4 linked regions of the Mus musculus genome follow. The protein of the gene in region 1 purifies or fractionates together with the protein of each later gene. This does not show direct contact. Links are inferred from orthologs where the notes say so. Each region holds a gene or a part of one and is shown on either strand. Other genes may lie near its edges. The genes, in order: Eef1a2, Vars, Eef1b2 and Eef1g.

What was found.
Region 2: the proteins of Eef1a2 (region 1) and Vars purify together in Homo sapiens (co-immunoprecipitation; 3 studies listed by BioGRID and IntAct, counting the BioPlex papers as one, with this or other methods). This does not show direct contact. The link is inferred for Mus musculus from reciprocal best matches to the Homo sapiens genes EEF1A2 and VARS1.
Region 3: the proteins of Eef1a2 (region 1) and Eef1b2 purify together in Homo sapiens (co-immunoprecipitation; 4 studies listed by BioGRID and IntAct, counting the BioPlex papers as one, with this or other methods). This does not show direct contact. The link is inferred for Mus musculus from reciprocal best matches to the Homo sapiens genes EEF1A2 and EEF1B2.
Region 4: the proteins of Eef1a2 (region 1) and Eef1g purify together in Homo sapiens (affinity purification with mass spectrometry; 4 studies listed by BioGRID and IntAct, counting the BioPlex papers as one, with this or other methods). This does not show direct contact. The link is inferred for Mus musculus from reciprocal best matches to the Homo sapiens genes EEF1A2 and EEF1G.

What each region holds. Positions count from the first base shown.
Region 1 is NC_000068.7:181,150,023-181,154,981, forward strand, and holds part of Eef1a2 (elongation factor 1-alpha 2), read right to left. Parts: intron 3,809-4,959; coding exon 3,629-3,808; intron 3,059-3,628; coding exon 2,762-3,058; intron 1,048-2,761; coding exon 897-1,047; intron 1-896. UniProt on the Homo sapiens protein: Translation elongation factor that catalyzes the GTP-dependent binding of aminoacyl-tRNA (aa-tRNA) to the A-site of ribosomes during the elongation phase of protein synthesis.
Region 2 is NC_000083.6:35,013,253-35,017,673, reverse strand, and holds the end of Vars (valine--tRNA ligase), read right to left. Parts: intron 4,410-4,421; coding exon 4,284-4,409; intron 4,032-4,283; coding exon 3,927-4,031; intron 3,847-3,926; coding exon 3,778-3,846; intron 3,649-3,777; coding exon 3,570-3,648; intron 3,441-3,569; coding exon 3,313-3,440; intron 3,053-3,312; coding exon 2,897-3,052; intron 2,738-2,896; coding exon 2,531-2,737; intron 2,310-2,530; coding exon 2,198-2,309; intron 2,081-2,197; coding exon 1,755-2,080; intron 1,488-1,754; coding exon 1,419-1,487; 3' UTR 1,345-1,418; downstream 1-1,344. Other genes in the region: Vwa7 (von Willebrand factor A domain-containing protein 7 isoform 1 precursor), read right to left, coding at 369-602. UniProt on the Homo sapiens protein: Catalyzes the attachment of valine to tRNA(Val).
Region 3 is NC_000067.6:63,174,637-63,180,048, reverse strand, and holds the start of Eef1b2 (elongation factor 1-beta), read right to left. Parts: upstream 3,219-5,412; 5' UTR 2,838-3,218; coding exon 2,758-2,837; intron 2,296-2,757; coding exon 2,173-2,295; intron 1,611-2,172; coding exon 1,484-1,610; intron 1,373-1,483; exon of another isoform or gene 1,295-1,372; intron 1,218-1,294; coding exon 1,151-1,217; intron 1,027-1,150; exon of another isoform or gene 914-1,026; intron 802-913; coding exon 676-801; intron 592-675; coding exon 437-591; 3' UTR 1-436. UniProt on the Homo sapiens protein: Catalytic subunit of the guanine nucleotide exchange factor (GEF) (eEF1B subcomplex) of the eukaryotic elongation factor 1 complex (eEF1).
Region 4 is NC_000085.6:8,969,012-8,973,970, reverse strand, and holds part of Eef1g (elongation factor 1-gamma), read right to left. Parts: intron 4,810-4,959; coding exon 4,746-4,809; intron 4,608-4,745; coding exon 4,465-4,607; intron 4,128-4,464; coding exon 3,984-4,127; intron 1,465-3,983; coding exon 1,335-1,464; intron 1,068-1,334; coding exon 863-1,067; intron 1-862. UniProt on the Homo sapiens protein: Probably plays a role in anchoring the complex to other cellular components.

The sequences.
Region 1 (4,959 bases):
TCAGGACTTGTTCCTCTCTGAAGGGGTCAAGGGAGATAACCTCACGGAGGGTATACGTAGACAGGGGGTCCCTAGACAAGCAGAGGGTGAGACAGAAGGAGTCTCTCCCGGCAGACTCAAGGATGAGGGGCAGGGCAGAGAAGGGAGGAACATCACAAGCTCCTCCTCCTTCCCTGAGAACCCCTCCCTGTGGTGTGTGGCCCAATCTACTCCTGGCGCTGGGTCTACTCCTGCCCTCACGGGACTCCCTGAGTCCTGCTGTAGCACTGTGGTCCTGCCACTGAAGAGGCATCTGGCCACAGCCCTTCTGACAGGCCTGCTCACACAGACGGTCTGGCTTCCACAGGGATACCATGATGAGCAAGTGGCTGGGAGAGGGAGAGCTCTCCAGCATCTCCTGGAAGCTTGTGGGTGGAGTGGCATTATGGGATGGCAGAGAAAAGCCAACAGTCATGCTCTGTGTTGGAGTTAAGCGTGAGCGTGATATTCGCATTCCCCTCCCTTTGCTCGTCTCATATGAGGCTTTGGTTTCTGTTGGCCCATGTGACCTATATTTCTCACTCCTGGACTAGGATTGCCTCCTATGAGACAGGCACCCTCCACCCTGCAGGCAAAGTGTAAGTCGGTTCAATACTCCTATCTTATGTCCCTAGCTTGTGGCTGAGTGCTGGAGGGGGTACGGAGTGGGAAAGGGATCCTATGGAAGGCTGAGTGAACAAATGGTAGGTGGGAGGGGCCACTGTGGAGGTGAGTGGGAGGGGTGACTGAGTAGACGGATGGATAGGGTGGGTAGATAGAGCAAGAATCAAGATTCCTTGTTGATATCCTAGTCAGGGTTTGGAGCAGAGTAGGCAAGCGCCTGCCGCAGTGAGCCCCAGCACTGAACCCTCACTCACCCCCAATCTTGTACACATCCTGCAGAGGCAGACGAAGGGGCTTGTCAGTGGGGCGGGTGGGGGGCAGGATTGTGTCCAGGGCTTCCAGCAGGGACACGCCGCTTGCATTTCCTTCCTTACGCTCTACTTTCCAGCCCTTGAACCATGGCATCTGGGCAGTACCAAAAAGGAAAACAAAAGGGTGCCAGTTATCACAGAGCAACTCACCTGACCTGACCCTCAGCCTCCGATCTCCTGGACCTGCCTAAGGGGTAGCCTGGGAAGGGAGCTTGACCATTCAAGCTGAATAGCTTGCTCCTTATCCCTCCTCTCCTTCCTAGCCTCACAGGGACCCTGAACAAACACAGCTTAGGAAAGAGGGAAGTGACAAATCAAGCAAACAAAAACAGCTTCCCCAGACTGCTGTCATGCCCCCACCACTTACAAATGAGACCACTCAGCCTGGCCTGATTCCCTAATTCCCCTGGGATCTGATCAATCATAGCCCTAGACAGGACAAGTACCAGGGGAATGGGGACCCAAGTCTAGCCAATGACCATGCCATGGATAAAATCCACCCTCTGCCCTTACCCCAGAGTTCTGCTCCATACCAAACTATCTCCAAGCTCAGGTCTAGCACCACCACCACCACTACCACCACCACCACCACCACCACTACAATGGCCTCTCTGGAGGATGACTTCAAACCCCCCTGACAGAGCTCCTCATGGTCCACCTGCCACAGACAAGAAGTAAATCCACCCAAGGGGCTTTGTGCACTCCTGCCTTAGTATTCATGGCCAAGTTCCAAGCACCTCAGGTCAACAGATGACTCTCAACGTATGGATGGGCATAGCCCCAGAGCACAATAGAGCAGTAGGGAGCAGAGGAGTTTCTGCTGATCAGAAGTGTCCAGGGGATTCTAAAGTCCTGCTAATCATACATCAGCAAGAACAAAATGGAGTATCCCCTGCCCGCCAAACTCTGTCCTTATACCACCAGGCACTGGGTCCCCAGCTATCTCCAGAGAACCTAGGCTTCTATCATTTTACTCACAGTGGCAGCTGCAAAGCTGGCTATAGCTGAGTACCCACCTTTCTAGGACAGGGGTTTCCTCTGGATAGACCAAGGTCTAGGTCCCAGGCTGTCTCTGAAAAATGTCTTCCTCTTTACTCCCAAGTAAGAGTCCCAACCCAGAGCTGCAGACTGTCTAAGTTTCAAGCTTCCACATGACCTGCCCAAACACAATCCTCCACTCTTCAGGCTAGCCTCCGGACATGCTTCCTTCCCAGATACCAACCCACTTCAGACTAAAGGGGGAGGCAGCTGAAAAAAACCATGTGGCCTTACTGATTCTGAATAGTTTTTTGTTGTTGTTGTTTTGTTTTTGATTTTTTTTTCTTTTTTGTTTTTTTGAGGCAGGGTTTCTCTGTATAGCCCTGGCTGTCCTGGAACTCACTTTGTAGACCAGGCTGGCCTCAAACTCAGAAATCCACCTGCCTCTGCCTCCCAAGTGCTGGGATTAAAGGTGTGCATCACCACACCCGGCCTGAATAGTATTTAAACCCAGGGCAGTGACTTCGGAGAAATAAAAACTGTTTTTCCCCCATAGTGAGATCCGGGATCCAACAGGCAGTGTCTGTAGGGATGACTTGATGAAACCATCATTTGCCAGAAAAAGGGCCTTATCTTCCTCTTTTGGCCTCTTAAGGAGGCTGAGTCAGAGAACTTCAAATGCAGGTCCCTTACTAGGAGGTCTTCATCACCACAGAGCTCACAGAAACCTAGCAAGACCAAAGGGAGCCTGGCCCACCCTGGCCTGGAGCCTTGGAGCCCTGGGCTCTTGAGAAGGCCAGCACTGTCCCCACCATACCATCTCCACTCACATTAGGTGAAGGCTCCAGCATGTTGTCACCATGCCAGCCCGAGATGGGCACGAAGGGCACCGTGGCTGGGTTGTAGCCGATCTTCTTGATGTAGGCGCTGACCTCCTTAACAATCTCATCATAGCGCTTCTCGCTGTAGGCTGGTTCCGTGGAGTCCATCTTGTTGACACCCACAATGAGCTGCTTCACACCCAGAGTGTAGGCCAGGAGTGCGTGTTCCCGGGTTTGCCCGTTCTTGGAGATGCCCGCCTCAAACTCGCCCACACCGGCTGCCACGATCAGCACTGCGCAGTCCGCCTAGCCAACAGGTCAGACACAGTGAGTCCCCACCCGGCCCTGCCTTCGACCTGGCCCTGCCACCCACATAATGGGGCCTGGGCAGTTATGCTGGGGGTAGAGATTCAGGGTATCTACCTCAAGGGCAACAGGGGAATCTTCCACCAGACCCTGAGTCAAGGAGGCCCAGACTGGCCATCAACTCCACTGCCAGCAGGGTATGGTCCTTGGATGAGTCACTGATCCCCTCTGGTTCTGTCCTCTCTGCCTGTGACTGACTGACTGCTTTTCTACCCATATGTCACTGTATCTACTCTGGGCTCTTCTATAAAAATCTATGTGTGAAAGATATGCCTACATGTCACCCTTGGTCTGTCTGCTGGCCCCAGCAGAGGTAACCCTGCAGGCACCCGGTCTAGCTGAGATATAAACACTGACTCAGTTCTTGAGGGACTCTATGCCCAACAGGATGGAGAGGACATGGAGATGACATGGGTAGAGGTCTGCCGAGACAGAAAGTGCAAGAGACGCTGACACCTGAAGAGAGCTCTTGGGCCCCGAGTCACTGAGCTAGGTGCCCTCTGTGCACACCTGGGATGTGCCTGTAATCATATTCTTGATGAAGTCTCGGTGTCCTGGAGCATCGATGATGGTGATGTAGTACTTGGTGGTCTCAAACTTCCAGAGGGAGATGTCGATGGTGATGCCTCGTTCCCGCTCGGCCTTCAGCTTGTCCAGCACCCAGGCATATTTAAAAGAGCCCTTCCCCATCTGGAAGGGTAGAGGCACAACTCAGGATAAGACACAGGACTCTGAGGTCACATCCACCTGCCATGCCTGCCCTGGCCCATGGGAGCAGCCATGGAGAAGTGACAGTTGGCTTAAAGCACTTTGAACTGAAGACCTCTGTCCCATCTCTCTGGTGTTGATCCCCAAACCCTGCTCTGCCTCACCCCAGGCTGCCCAGATCAGCCAGCCCCACCCTCACTCCCTTCCTCAATGGTTGTGGACATGCAAGTCCCCCAGCAGAGGGCGTGAGGGCCTGGGAGTTGCCAAACTATCCTTGCCACCTGAGGCTAAGGCTCTACACCCAATTAGAGATCAATTATCTCATTAGGTTTGGGACTGTTAAAAACAAAACAACTCTCTAAGTTATTTTTTTAAGGGAAAATTTTAAAAATGAGTAAATTGTTCAAGGTTTTGAGAAAATCCCGGTTCCAGCTCTTCCTGCAGCTGATGAATAACTCTGAGGCATCTCCCCTCCCCACTTCCACCAAAACAGAAGTAGAAACAGCCCCACCAAGAGCAAGGCTGGCTGCTCTTTGCAAATCTGTGCCAGGGTGAGACTCCTTGTGAGACTCCTACAGCCTGGACCACGGTTTGTGGTCATCGATGCTCAGCTGAACATGACTCCCTACCAGAATCTCACATGACATGTTTGCTTCTGCATTCCAGGGATGATGCCCAGCTTGGAGGGGCTACCCAGACAGAGCCAGACAAAACCCAGCTGGGACCTGATCCAAGTGGCCATCAAACCCTCAGGTCCCTCCTACCTCCTCCCCTCAGCGCAACCCCTAAAAGGTAAAAGCATCAGGCCTAGACACACAGAATTGTGGCTCAAAGCCCCATATACACACAGGAGCAGGAGCTCTGCATAGACAGTTGATGCCCTCAGATCTGCCTTAGCCCTTATCCAGGAGCCAGCTCTTCTCGGAATGAGCAGGGTTAGGGGCAGAGAAGAGAATTCTGTTACAACCACTGCTCATTTGTAGGTCTCAACCAGGAACAGGCTACCAAGACCCCCCACTCCAGGTACCATCCTGGACCAGCAACCCTTCTCAGCTTATCTGGAGAAAGTGGAGCTGGCAAGCCTGCTGCCCATCAATCAGCTATTAATAGCATCCTTGAGCCCTGGCTGTTGC
Region 2 (4,421 bases), on another chromosome or scaffold:
AAAGAAACTCCAGAAGTCGTTTGGATGCTACCACTGCCTGAAGTACCCTAGCAACTGGCACTCAAGGCTGAATAGAATGGTGGGCCAAGAGACCCACAGGGGAGCAGCAGATTTGGACTGGCTGACCCGGCTAGCCTGGCGCTCACTATGCAGCCCATGCTGGCCTTTAACTTCCATTCTCCTTAAGTGCTGGGATTACAGGTGTGTGCCATCACATCTCTTTTGGTACAGACTTTCCCAAGACTGGCGACTCAGGATTTCAGGACCAGAATTGAGGAGGGACAAGTGTGGAAGTGAGCAAGTCAAAGGTGGAGCCTCCTTGTGACAAGGATCCTCTGAGAAACCCCAGGTGAATCTAAGGTGCTCACCCTGTAGTCCTCTACATGGAGGCGTGGTCGGCCTGGGTGTGGCTGCTCCAGAAAGAGCACAAGGGTGACATTGAGTGCAGCCTCCTCAGTCAGGTCTTGGTGAGTGACAGAGCCAGGGGCAGCCAGAAGGCTCCAGATGTTGGGAAAGAAGGCAGATGTTGGGGGCAACAGCAGCTGAAGCAGAAGCAGTATTGGGGGGCCCAGGTGGGACAGGGGTACCTCCACAGGGAGCATGGCTGAAGCATGGACCTAGGGAACAGAAGCACCTCAAGGGAAAAAAAAGCCACCAATTGCAGGGCAGGCCTGCTGTCACCATGGCACCTATTGCCCACTTCCTGCTTTGCTTCAGGTGCCCCATATACTCCAGGGTGGCTCCCCTCCCTGTGCCTGCAACCCATACAAACTAAGGGCCTGTCAGGCCAGTGGAGCCCACAGCTGCCATCGGAGGCCCCGGAGGACCCTCTCAAGATTCTCTTCCTACACCAGACTGAGCCCTGGCCCTGCCCCACGGATAGAAGTCTCCTCAGGCCTCTCCTACCTGGAAGCTGGGTCTCCTGGGCAGCGCTGGCCTGGGTGTGGCGTCACAGGGCACTTAGGTCAGAGTTATAATTAACTGGGCCTCAGTAGAGTGAGAGGGAGGCTCTTAGCAAGGGGATTGAGGACAGGCAGCCCCTGGCCATCTTCCATTCGTGCCAACCCAGAGCCACAAGATGTAGCGAAAGCCGGGGCGGGCCCAGGGCAGGCCTCCGCAGGCACAGCGCAGTGCAGTGCAGTGAGGTGAACTGGGGAGGCGGGGAGCTGGCAGCAGAGCACCGTGACTCAGGCCTGGCACTGTGCCAGAGACAGACCCAGGCAGACGCATCCTGCTGCCCACCAGGACCAGGGCCAGGCAGGAGCCGGCAGTTCTCCTGCTGCTCCTGGGAAGCCCTAGGTCAGGCCTCTGTACGCCCCCTGCCCACACCACACAGACAAGAGCGAATGTTGGGAAAATATTTTATTGCTGCCATCCCTGTTGATGGAACACTGGGGGCTGAGGGTTGGAATGGGGGGTCACAGCATCTTCTGGAACAGGGCGATGGCCTCATCCACCTTCCTGAGCTCCGCCTCTGTCTGTTGCAACTGGGGGTGCAAAAGAGGTATGTGGTGACCCCATACCCAAGGAGCCTAAACACCCAGAGAGCAGAGGAGCCCAGGGTGATGAGATGGGTGAGGATGACCAGGAAGTCAGGGCAGCAGGCTTCCAAGTCCCTCTTCCTCTAGAGCGCTTCTTTTCTTGAGAGTACAGTGACAAAGGGCCCCAGAGCACACACAACCCCACCTGTGCAGGAGTCCACAGGCTGCCTGGCCACACACGACCCACTGGCATACCCCATCCCCTCCACACACCTTCGCTTCATCTGCCTCCTGGACCTCAAGGGGCACCTTTGCTGAGTAGCTGGAGGCAGCACGGCGCTCCTGCAGCCGCTGAGCCTGCCGCTGTGCCTCACTTCGCTTGGCCTGCAGCTTGCCCAACTCCCGGGCTGGGTCCACTAGCCCCTGCAGCTGCAGGTGGATGGAGCAGCGGTCAGAAGCCACAGCTACAGCGCAGCCCTGCGGTGCAGGAGCACCCAGGGCGAGGACAGCCACCACGCCCGCACTGGCCAGAGCCTGCACGTAGCCCGACACTGCCGAGGCCAAGGCACCTGTGGCCTCATCGGCTACTTCCAAGAAACCTGTAGAGCGAAGAGGGGGAAAAAGAGGAAAGGGAAGCCGAGGTACAGCCAGACCCTGGGCTCCCCAAGGGGCCGTGGAGGTCAGGGGATAGGTGGATGCGAGGGACTGAGGCTTACAGTCGGGCCTGGTGCGGGTCAGGTTGTAGTCAGCACGCAGGGAGCGCACAGCTCGAGTGATGCTCAGAGCTAGTTCAAGAGCAGCTTCAGCTTCAGGGTCCTTCCAGGAGCACTGTGGGGCAGAGTGGGGGAAGGGGGAGCACTGTGAGTCAGACTGGGGGAAAAGGGGAGCACTAGGGCAGAGTGGGGGGAGGGGGAGCACTGTGAGTCAGACGGGGGGAAAAGGGGAGCACTGTGGGGCAGAGTGGGGAAAGGGGGAGCACTGTGGGGCAGAGTGGGAGAAAAGGACTGCTCAGGAGGGCAGCAGCATGCCCTCCAGGCCACACCTCATACCTCTGAGGGCTCTGGGTACGGGGTGACACAGAGGCTAGCAGGCGCTTTTGGTGTCCGCCGGGGCAGTCTCTGGAATAGCTCCTCTGTGACAAAGGGCATGAAGGGCGAGAGCAGCCGCAGGCCAACATCCAGGCAGGTGTAGAGGGTCTGCCGAGCACACTCTGCCGCCACCTGGTCCACTCCATTCAGCACAGGTTTTAGACACTCCTAGAGATGGGGAGGCAGAAGGCTCAGGGCCAGGTCCCACCTGGAGCCCCCTCCCCTGCTGCCCCCATTAGGACTGGAAAAACCAAAAGGTGACCTCAAGTTTCAGGGCCAAGCTGAGGTCAGAGCTACACGTGCCCAGGCCCCGCCCCAGCTGCTCACCAAATAGACATCACAGAGCTCATAGAGCCAAAAGCTGTACTGGGCGGTGGTGATGGCCGGGAAATCGTAAGCCTGGAAGCCTTCATTGCTGAGCCTCACGGCCTCAGTTAGGCGGCTGCGGATCCAGCGGTCCACCAGGCTCTCGTGCCCTTCAGGCTTGGGGGAAGAGAAACGTCAGGCAGTAGGCCATCACACTACCAGGGCAGGGAGTAGAGTGGGACACAGGAGAATCTGCATTCCTCATGGGCCCCAAGCTGCAGAGACTTCCCCATCAATCATCAACTTCCACCTGTCTGTCCCTGACTAAAAGGAGGATCTCAGGGGACAGCAGCTTTAGTCTTGACACTTGAGTGGAGGGAGCCACAGACTGTGTGGGCACAGGCACTGTCACCGATGGCCACCGACAAGATCCTCACCTTGGAGGTTGCTGAGGGCACAAAGCCCTTCCCAAGGCCGCGCAGGGCAAACTTGGTAGCATTCCAGAGTTTGTTGCAGAAGTGACGGTACCCCAGGATCCTGTTCACATCCAGGTTGATGTCTCGACCTAGAGGAGGGATGTCTGTGATTCCACCCCAGTTGCCCTCTCAGAGAGGTCCTCTGAAGGCCCAAGGTAGAGGAGATCACGGGTTGCAGGGAAGAAAACAGGCAACTGAGGGAGGTCGGGAGACCATACCTTGGGATGTGTAGGCACAGAGTCCAAAGCGTAGGGCATCAGTGCCACACTCGGGAATCCCTGCTGGAAAGTCGGCCTTCTACAGAGGATGCAGAGGAACAGGGCGGTTGAGCAGGGTGGTCAGGTTGCCCACCTGCTGCAGCCCACCCCTGGGGTACACCCACTCCTGCCCACCTGCTGCAGCCCACCCCCGGAGCACACCCCTTACCTGTCCTTCTTTGGCTTTCTCCACCTCACTGGGATCCAGGTTGCTGTTCAGTAGTTGGTCATAGAGGCCCTAGGGAGGAGATGGGAGGTGTCAGATCGTTCTAGCCACAGCTGCAAAGTTGTTTCTAGCTGACCCACTGAGTACCCCACCTGCAAGGAAACTCCATGGATGACATCCAGGGGGTCGATGACATTGCCAAGAGACTTGCTCATCTTCCTGCCATGAGCATCACGCACGATTGCATGGAGATAGACCTGAGGGCACGAGGCGTGATGAACTGTGAGGCCATGCTCCTCCCAGTCTTGAAGGCCCTCCCCAGTCTGCCCACTTGGAATCATAGGTTCCTAGTGGCCCTACTGGCTGGTCATAGTGTATCTGACAAGTGCCCCCTCCTCTGGGAAGAGGAAGCCCTGAGGCAGACCCATCAAGCTAATCTTAGCCAACAGCCACCCAAGAAGGCAGGTAAGGAGACACGGGGCAGGGGCGGGGCTTAGCCATAGTCACACCTCTCTGAAGGGCAGCTTCCCAGTGAGCTTCAGGCCGAGCATGACCATCCGGGCCACCCAGAAGAAGAGGATATCATGGCCTGTCTCCAACAGGGTCCCAGGGTAGAACACACTGAGGTCTTCTGACTGCGGGAGGAC
Region 3 (5,412 bases), on another chromosome or scaffold:
CAGTAAGCAACCTCAGTGGCTATCATAGAGTCATCTCAGCAGCCCAAGATTCAGTTTTTCAGAAAGACATCGAAGGCATCTAGTGACAGTTTATCAATAGTATCATGTACTGCTAACAGCAAAAGAATTATTTCACTAATCACAAAAGTATACTCTAATTGCTAAATCTTTAATAACACATCAGTTCTTTATCTTCCTTTTAATTATATCTATGGTACACACAGTGTTGGCTAAAAGACAACTTCAGGTTGGTCTGGTCATCAAGCTGAGTGGTTTAAAAATGCTGAGCTATTTCTCTTTCCAGTTCAAGTTTTCGCCACTAATGAGTTACACTGAATCCTTTCCTTCAAAATGAAGACATACCATTTCACAGCAAAATGAAGAGCCAAGGGTTATCTTTCAAGCTTTTATTTAAGTGCACTGACTTAAGAATGATTTAAATCTTGTTAAAAGCAGCCACATCCATGGACTGTACGTAGTCCTCAAAAGCAGTAATTTGCTCTTCCAGCATATCCGTTCCAACCTTATCATCTTCAACTACACACTGTATTTGAAGCTTTTTAATTCCATATCCCACTGGAACCAATTTAGCTAAAAAAGAACATCAAGGGGTAAATGTTAGGAAATCCTTACGGGAAAACGCACAAATCCCTAAAACACAAGCATCACACTTACAGGAGCCCCACACCAGGCCATCTGCTTGAATGCTTCGGACACACTCCTCTAGTTTTGTCATGTCCGTCTCATCATCCCAAGGCTTCACGTCTAGTAGGATGGAAGACTTCGCAACAACTGCAGGCTCTAAGGAAGATTAAGAAGTGCACCTAAACACTCAACACTTTCACCATTAAGTCAAATCTCAAATTTGTTTTAAAACAGACCATCTTTTTGTCAAACACACACACAATTTGCCTTGTGTCTGTCACACATAATCCTCCTCCTGTGTGGCTAAGAAAGAGGCATTAAATTGTGTAACAGTTTCTTTCCCACAGAGGAATGCTACAACTGCTACCATAAAGACAGCTGTAGACCAGTAGCTGTGGAAGTTTTAAAATATTGACCCATTCAATTTAACTGGGGAAAATCCACTTTAGGGCAAGCACTGGACAAGCTCCTGAAATCAACACTACTAACAATGAAGATTACCCACTTTTAGCTTTCTTGGACTCATACTGTGCAAGGCGTTCTTCTCGTAGCTTCTTTGCTTCCTCACTTTCCTGTACAGAGAAAAGATGTTTCACAAAGTTGGTTATCTTCTGCTTAAATGTAGTGACAAGGTCATCACAAAACCCACCAGATTTATCAGAAAAAGCAAATCCATCAGGAGCTCAGCCGAAAGAAGGTGATTTGATTTTATTCATCATGTACCCAGTGATAAATTTTAAAAGGCAGACAATAAAGCCACGCCAGGATCCATCCAGGGAGTGGCTATGGCATCTGTCCTCAGGCTTCTCAATATGCTTGGATAAAGATGAAGTCATACCTCCTCATCATCAGATCCAAAGAGATCAATGTCGTCATCATCCTTAGCATCTGCAGCTCCACTTCCTGTGGTGTCTTCTACACTGCTAGGGCCATACTTGCCCAAAGATTTCTTCACTCCCGGCAGGCTTGAAAACAAACATTCTGCCACATTAGGTCAGTGTCAAAGCCCTTTCTAGGCAAAACACACAATCTTCCTTTCCCAGGAACTCCCACTCTCTTCTGGTTATTTAACCTTTAGCACAATCCCAGGCAAATAACTTTACTCTTCACCCATGGGAGACATTGTATTCAGTACTCACTACGGCTTACTCTTTCAGAATGAACATCTGTTTGAGATTTCATTAAGTATGCTCACTTCCATTCTTAGTGAACTGGAATCCACTTCCCCAAACTTCCACCCTTGCTGGTAGTTTCAGAAGAATGGCCAGGGACCGAATGAGCGAGCTACCCTCACACCCCAGCGGTGGCCCCCCCAGGTCCAAAGCACATGATCAGAGAGGTGTGGGAAAGGTGAACTGCGGTTGTCCATGTTCTACCTGTTCTGTGAGAAAATGGAGGACTTCAGTCTCTTGGCCTTGTAAGGTCACAAAGAAATTCAGCTCACACTAGGTCAGCAATGCTAAAGCCAACTTTAACCCGGTCCCTACTTTGCATGTGAAAATCCAGGTAGCACAAAGATACCTTTACCTGGCCTTTTCTTTTTCATACGACTTGATGTGATTATACCAACGTAGGGCATGACACAGGTCAGCAGGTGGTGGACCAGAAACTGCTTCAAATACTGCCACGTCTGCTTGTGATGGCACGTACCTGCCAGTGACACAAAAACAAGTGCACAGACCTTTAAAAGAAAAGACACAAACACTAGCTGGTAAATGACATAGCCCATATCCGTCAAGCTAACTAGTGAGAACAATTACAGGGCTAGCCTAAGTTGCTTCTCATTGAAAGGACACAGAACATGTTTGAATCTAGGCAAGCCCAAGAACTATCTGCCACCCAGGAGAACTCATCCCACCAGACTTGCCACAGGTTTCAACTAACAAACTAACTTGTCCAAAGACGCGGAAGAACCAGCTGGACGTGGGCACACGGAGAGCAAGCATCATCTCAATTATAATGCTGGCAGCCCCTCCCGGGAGGTCCCGCTCCATTGGCATCCCGGCCCCGGGAGCACTGACTCGGCGTCCCCCAGCATCCGGAGACCCGCTTCCTTCCCGCCGAGCCCGCGCCACGTGGCCCCGGCCCCCCAGCCTCTCGGCTCCTGCTCACCCCTCAATGTAGCTCTTGTCCGCCAGGTAATCGTTGAGCACCTGGAGGCCGGCAGGGGTTTTCAGGTCTCCGAATCCCATGGCGAAGGCTGGAACGGGGAGCTGTGCAAAAGCGGAGGACGAGAGCGCCGGGAGGCCGCGGCCAGCGCTGAGGGAAAAAAAGGACCCAGAGCGTCCGGAAAACTCCTTATATAGAGACGGAGGCGTTTCCCTCCGCCGCCCCGGCTAGAGGTTAAAGGTCAAGGTCCGTTCCTAGTCTCGGTCCTCCGCGTACCACTGCGACTTGGTAACTAAAGGGCCCACAGGTCGTCCGCCGGCCTTCCCTTGTCTTTGGAAGAAAATTAATAAAGGAGGCATTTTAAAATGCCTTCGCTCCAAGGACTCCGAAACGAAGGGAAACGCCCTCTGAGGAGCCGGAGTTGAACGAAAGCGCTCGGACGCAAGGCCTCGGCTACTTCCGGCGGAACTGCAGGTCCAAGTCGTCTTCTCCGCTTCCTCCCGGGCTCGCTCTCGGAAATTGCCGAACAGGTCCGAAGACGGGGAAAAACAGTCGAATCTGTGTTTCTAGTCCCTCCTGGCTTTCCGTCCTCCAGGTCGGGCTGACAGAGGTTGCCGTGGCCGCCATATTGACTTAGCGGCCAGGGTTTTGAGGGGTCAGGGAGACCCGGACAGGTCCGCGGAACTACTCGGTGGGCTCCGGAGGAAAGGTGAGGACGCGTTGAAGTGGGCAAGTTGAAGCGCTTCGAGTGGTGTTTTCTTTTTTGGCAGGTCTGCATCCCATAGGTCAGACAAGCCGTTCTCCTCTTGCCCTTGACTGGGTACCAGCTCCTGCCCCGCCACCTCTGGAACCCGGGAGAGCCGGCAGGTGAGGGTTATGAGCCTTGGTTTCTGGTCTGATGGAGCCTAAGCCGATCAGGAGACCTTTGGGAGTCCGGGCTTGCGAGCTACTCTCTCTTTGCAGGGGAAGACAGGAGATGGCCCTGTCATCAGGAGACCGGTTCATCTCCCAGGGTCACGAGAGACTTAAACCTCAGGCATCGGTTTAGTTGCTGTCTTGAACCTGTCCACGCTACTGTTTGTTTTTGTCTAGCCCGGTGATCATGTTGGGTAGTATTTTATTCATTCCACCGACGGGGAGAACTGACAAAAACTAAAAGTTAGCTCAGTCGGAGCTGGAGGGAGAGTCAAGCGGTTAAGAGTGCCTTGCAGAGAGGATCCGAGTTCGGTTCCCACTAGCCCAGTCAGAAGACTCCCAGCTGCCATGTAACCTTATCAGGGAATTCTCCACTCTCTTTTGGACTGTGAGCACCGGCACTTAGAAGTGCACATTACCCACACACAGATAAGCACATGCACACATAAACTAAAAATGAATCTTAAAAAGTTAGCCTGGAGTCCGCTGCAGATCAGGAAGCTGCGGTGTCTTCAAGTTTGTGAGGTTCATGTCTGTAAGACCAAACAGATTTCTGGGATCCACCCCCACCCCATCACTAAATCTAATATTCTAAGCCAGCTCATCAGCGCCTTTTAGAAAGTTACTTTTATAAGATACAGCCAAGATATTAGAGCCAGGGTGTGATGATGGTACCTGTCTGTAATTCCAGAAAGGGGAGGCTGAGATGTGAGGATTGAACGGAGAACTTTGTGTGTGATTAGGTAAGGACTCTACTAACTGAGCTACATCCCTGACTTGACTGGCTATTTTTGTTCCTATTTGGTAGATACTATGTCTAAAATACATATTAGAGCTGGGAAAGATCTTAGTTGGAAATGATGCTTGCCAATCCTGACATCCTGAGTTAGATCTCCAGGACCCACATTGATGGAAAGAAAGAACTGACTTTCAAAGGGTGTCCTTTAACTTTCACAGGCACCCGCCCCACCCACCTCCTTGTGTGTTTATGGTGACACTCACGGAGTAAGTAAATGAATGTCAACAACAACAACAACAGTAAAATATATACCAATCTGGACATGGTGGTGCGTGTTGATAATTCTGCTCCTTGCTTGGGAAGTGGAGGCCTGAAGTTTAGGAGTCCAAGTTAATCCTTGACTTCATAGCAAGTGTGAAGCCAGTCTGAGGTACATGAGGTCTGTCTACAAACAAACAAACCCCACCAAGTAGAAAACCCCAGTAAAACAAACTGTACAGTGTAGAAGCCAGGTTATCCCCAAACTCTTGATGTAGTGCAGGCTGTTTTTATGGGATGAAGCTTCATGGGTGTAGATCAGGCTGGCCTCAAATTCATGATTCTCATGCTTTAGGTTTCCCAGTGCTGGAATCACAAGCATTGGCCCTGTGCTTGGCCTCATCAGTACTTGTTAAAAATGAGCTATGTACTGCTCATTCTGGAATTTGGTGCAAAACTATTTGGGGACTTGCTAGTCTTCAGAAAAGAGAAATAACCAAATCTTTTGTCAAGGAACTTACAGTCTAGTAGGTAACAAAATCGATAATTTACCTTCAATTTAGTATTGTGGGCTTGTTTGTTGTTTGTACTCTGCATACAGCCCAATGCAGCCTACCTTTACGTTTTAGGCCTTGCACTAAAGCTACCTGCTCAGCCCAAGTTTAGTAAGTAGAATAATAAAATATATACATGGCGTGTTTTTAATAAGGAAAAGGGACACAGATGAAGAACAGTATACAACTGAT
Region 4 (4,959 bases), on another chromosome or scaffold:
GCCACCCCTCAAAAAAAAAAAGAAAAAGCAGGAATGCTACATCTGAAGTCTTCTTGGTCTCATACCAAAAAAGCAAACAAAAACTAGAAATTAGGACTCTCAGACAGAAGTCCCTGTCCTTTGGTATAATCCTTGCTGCAATTTCCAACTCTACAGTCAAGAGTATTTCTACATGCTGGTTTACAAGGCAATCACTTAAAACATCACAAAATGTAGGTGGGTCAAAACTGAGCCTGCATGGCTGCTCTGTAGTCAACTTGACCAGGCTAAATGAGTGAGTGGACCCCAGCTTTCATGTCTCTCTGCCCTTCCCAAAACAACTAAAGGGACGGATATTTTGTCTCGTTTTCCCTTTGTTTTTCCTCAGTTGTCCCAGCAATGAAAAAGTATTATGAAATAGACCATTATTGTGCACAGGAAGGTGGCTTTAGGAAGGGCAGAGATGCTAGACTTTGGGGACACACCTGTAATGCTAGTACTTGAGGTGCAAGGGCACAAGGTCCAGGTTCAAGGCAGCCTGGTCTGCACAATAACAAAGGAAGGCATGGTGGCATGCATCATGCTTGGGAGGCACAGGCAGGTCTATAGACTGCCTTTGAGCCACAGGAAGACCCTATCTGAAAAAAACAAAAACAACCCCCACTACACTCCACTTTAAACAGGCTTTTGTCCTTCTGTTAGAAAAATTCCAAGAGGCTGAGGACATGGCTCAGTGGGTAAAGTGCTTGCTATGCAAGCATGAGGAACTGAGTTCAGACCCTCAGCACAACCTGGACACATGAGACCTGGACTATACTTACACCCATCAGTATTGTAACAACCTAACATCGTAGCCCTAGATGTGAGAAGAGCACCAGCTTACCTCTTGGGCAGGTGAGCGAAAGGGTCCTTGGCCTTGGGCTCAGCAGCCAATGCCTGCTCACACTCATCCATCTCTTCCTCAGGAGCTGGGGCAGCTGCCTTTTTTTCCTCCTTCCGCTCAGCCTGGGGTTTCTGTTTCTCCTCTCGTGAACCCTTTTCTTTCCTTGGGGTATCTTTTTTAGGCTGGCTCTCTGCAAACTTCTTAGCTAGCAAAGGATGGAAGAAAGTAAACATACAGCCTCTTTCTTTTTTCTCCCAAACCCGGCAGCAGGCAGGGAAAGTGATGGCTCGGACAGCCTAAGAAGCCTCAAGAAGCAAAACACACATCGTCACACAGCACTGCAGTTTGATGTAAACGTCAGTTACTGGGTGACACCCACGTTCTCTGGGTGAACAAGGCTATGCAAGTCAAAGGGTTGACAGGCGCCAACTGGACCCTGACCCTATCACATGCCCAGTCTCTTCAGACTTACCATCAAACTGAGCCATCTTCTCACACAGCTTCACCTCCCCCAAGATAGCCCTGAACTGGGGCTGGTTAATGCAGGTAAGGAACCACCGGTTGGTATTGGGGAAGGCCTGGCGAAAAGAAGGCTCTAAGACCTGCCAAGAGGGAATGGCAGAAACAAGATCAATAATGGAAAGGCCATGAACAGATTTCAAACCACAGCAAAAGCCCCTTACCTCCAGGTCCACTGTCCTCTCCATGCCACATCAGAACCTTAAATGACTACACCTCCAGGAAGACTCCTTTTCAAAGAAAAGTTTTCAAAGAAGACTCCTTTTATGTGTATTGAGTGTTTTACCTACATATACACATATACGACATACATGCAGTGTTCCCTGAGGCCGTAAGACAGTGCCAGGATCCCTTGGAAATGGAGCTGTAGATGACTGAGGCATTATATGGGTGCTGGTAATTAAACCCTGGCGGAAGGGTGGCCATTGCCCTTAACCACATAACTGTTGAGCTCTTTCCAGTATTCTCTGTGTTTCAGTCAGCTTTATTACATAACCCAAGTGAGCCTTTCACATCAGGATCCTCCCATCTCCACTCTGCTGTGCTGGGAGTATAGGCGCTTTCTCCCTCGTCTTTAGTTCAGTCGAGGATGGCTGTTCCCAGTCCTTCATGCACCATTGCTACTTAATGATTTCATATTCTGCTCTTTCATCTATTCTTTTCTTTTAAAGTTTTATTTATTTCATGTAAGTGAGTACTGGTGTGTCTTCAGCCACACCAGAAGAGGGCATCAGATCCTATTACAGATGGTTGTGAGCCACCATGTGGTTGCTGGGAATTGAACTCAGGACCTCTGGAAAAGCAGCTGGCGCTCTTAACCACTGAGCCATCTCTCTAGCCCCTCTTTCATCTATTCTTAATTTTAAAAATTTCATGCCAACAATCCCAGCACCAAGAAAGCAAAGCAGAGGCAGGCAGAGCTGAGTTTTAGGGCAGCCTGGTCTACAGAGAAACCCTATCCCCCCCACCCCCCCAAAAAAGATTGAAAAGGCTGTAAGAAGAGCCTGTCTAGAGTACCGGGGGGGGCTAGGAATGTGGCTTAGTAGCAGGTGACCCAGACATTGGTCAAGGCACCGGGTTCCAAATCAGCACCCAAATGGGGTAGAGTGGGGTGACTACCACACTTATTTTGCTATGACAACCCTCCAAAAAAAGATACTTCGTGTGTGATGCTAGGAATGGGACATAAAGCATGCCAGGTAAATCACTGGGCTCCACGCTAGCCCCGCACTGCGACTCTAACACACACAGAAGGCACAAGCAACCCAAGACTAGATAGAGCAGCAACACAGCACGTGCCCAGCAGACACAACACAGTCCTTCCTTCAAACCTCGTCCTTGAAAAACTTACATTCATTCTTATGTTTTAGTGCTTTTCTTCCAAGTATATCTGTGCCCACTTAGATCATAAAACACCGGCTCCCCGAGTTGGCGTTATATAGTTTTAAGCTGCCATTTGTGTATTGGGAAATAAACATAGCCTCTGCAAAACAAGAACTCTTCGAGTGCTGAGCCATCTCTCCTGCCCCACACTACCATCTTACAAGCTCCTGTTTGGTACTTTTCTGTATCTGGGTGTCTTGCCTGTGCGTTTGTCTATGCACCACGTGCATTCCTAGGGCTCACGGAAGCTGGAACATCAGATCTTCTGGAAATGGAGTTCCAGTTGTGAGAAGCGTGTGGGTGCTGAGAATCCACCAGAGTCCTCTGGAAGAGCAGCAAGCATTTTTTAAAACTATTGACTCATCTCTCCAGCCCCTGTCATTTTCTACTTTGTCAAAACAGGAGTGGGTAGAAGGGTAAATCATGGAGACAGATCACAGAATTCAGTTAGTCACGCACCGCAAGTTCTGCAGTGACTTGAACATGTACTTGCTGTGTGTTGTGGCCATGGAAGGATTATAATGAACCCTGTGAGGCACACCAGTCTGGCAAACAATGGCATTTTTTTTTGTTCTCACTGGACTGTAATTCTGAACCAGAATGGGTCCAGAGCTGCTGCCGCCTAGAAATCAGCAACACAATATTAAAAAAAAAAAAAAAAACAAACATGGGGGTTGGGGGCAGCTGGGGATGGCTACCTGGTTTGATTCCTAGCACACACATAGTAGCTCACAGCCATCTGTAACTCAAGCTCCTTGGGATCTGCATGCATGCACACACATATGCAAATACATGTAGACATAAGCTGAATACCACCTTGGACTTATCACAGATAAATAACTATGAGAATTCTTATACCACTGCATCTTTAAACACTGAAGTTAAGACAGAGACCTGAATCTGCCTCCAAAAGCTCTCGCTGCTGCAGTCACTATCCCTGTCTCTTACATCTTTGATTTTTGCTTTCTATTTTTGATATCACTATGTAGCCTAGGGTGGCCTTAAACCAGAATGATCCTCCTGTCTCAGTATCTCAAGTGCTGGGATTACACAAGTATGAGCTACCACACGCAGCCTTTATCCATCTTTAATAAGATGGAAACAGTCACAGTTCTCACTGTTGGGATCCCTACAATCATTAACTACTGGTCTGTCTTAAGCAAAAACAGGGTTACCCTAATACAGGTCTAACCCCTGTCACATGGGATATAAACCTTACCTGTTTATAGAGCCACAACAGGGTACAGACAACTGTAATATCAGCCAGTGTCACTCGCTCGCCCACTAGAAAAGTTCGAGTCTTCAAGTGAGTGTCCAGCAGCCCCAGGATTCGCTTCACCTCCTCTTTCGCATTTTCAGTGGCCTGTTGTTTTGAATACTCAAGCTTAGTGGGTACCAAGTCCCTTTCCTCAGATCCCCCCACCAACAGAACTAAAGAAGCCATTTAACCAGCCATCGACTCAACCCCCACCCTCTATCATTAGACTCTAGAATCAGTTGAAACTTATCAGAAATGAAATCACTCGTGTTAGATATCTTCATGATCAACATGACTTTATTTGCACCATACTGATGGTAGCCACTTTAGTCTGCATTGCCCCCACACTCCTGCTATCTTTTCCTTCATCTGTCTCCCAGTCCCAAAATGTAGGCTCTGACTCTATCTCTGGCCCAGCTTCTCCCCAAGTTCCAAAGCGTACCTGTTTGTTGTGGTGCATAATGCCCAAGGTGGGGAACACCCAGGTACTAGCTGGAGGAACGATGTCACTGTCAGCAAAGCTGACCCACTGCACCACCTGAGCTGCCGCCTCTGGCGTACTTCCTCGCAGCTCCTCATTGCTTACTGCAAAGGCAGACATAGAGCTTAGAACTTTGACCTCATGCCAAAACCAAGCCGGGTCTCTGATTCCACCTTGTCCGCCACAGCCGCTTCTACAGCCTTACCCCCATACCCTCTCACGCCTGTATCCCCACAAATTACCATAATAGGCAATGGCATTGCTCTCAAACACACAGAATCCATCATCACCCTCAAATGCTGGAACCTGTGGAGAAAGTAGCAGAAAACATAAACACAGAGATTTCTCAGTAGCCAATTCTCCAGGCTGAATTGTTCTAAATAATATGTTAAGACAGACAACTCTTGCTACGCTAATTCATGACATCTCAAGCTCAGAAGTGAAAATTACTTAGTA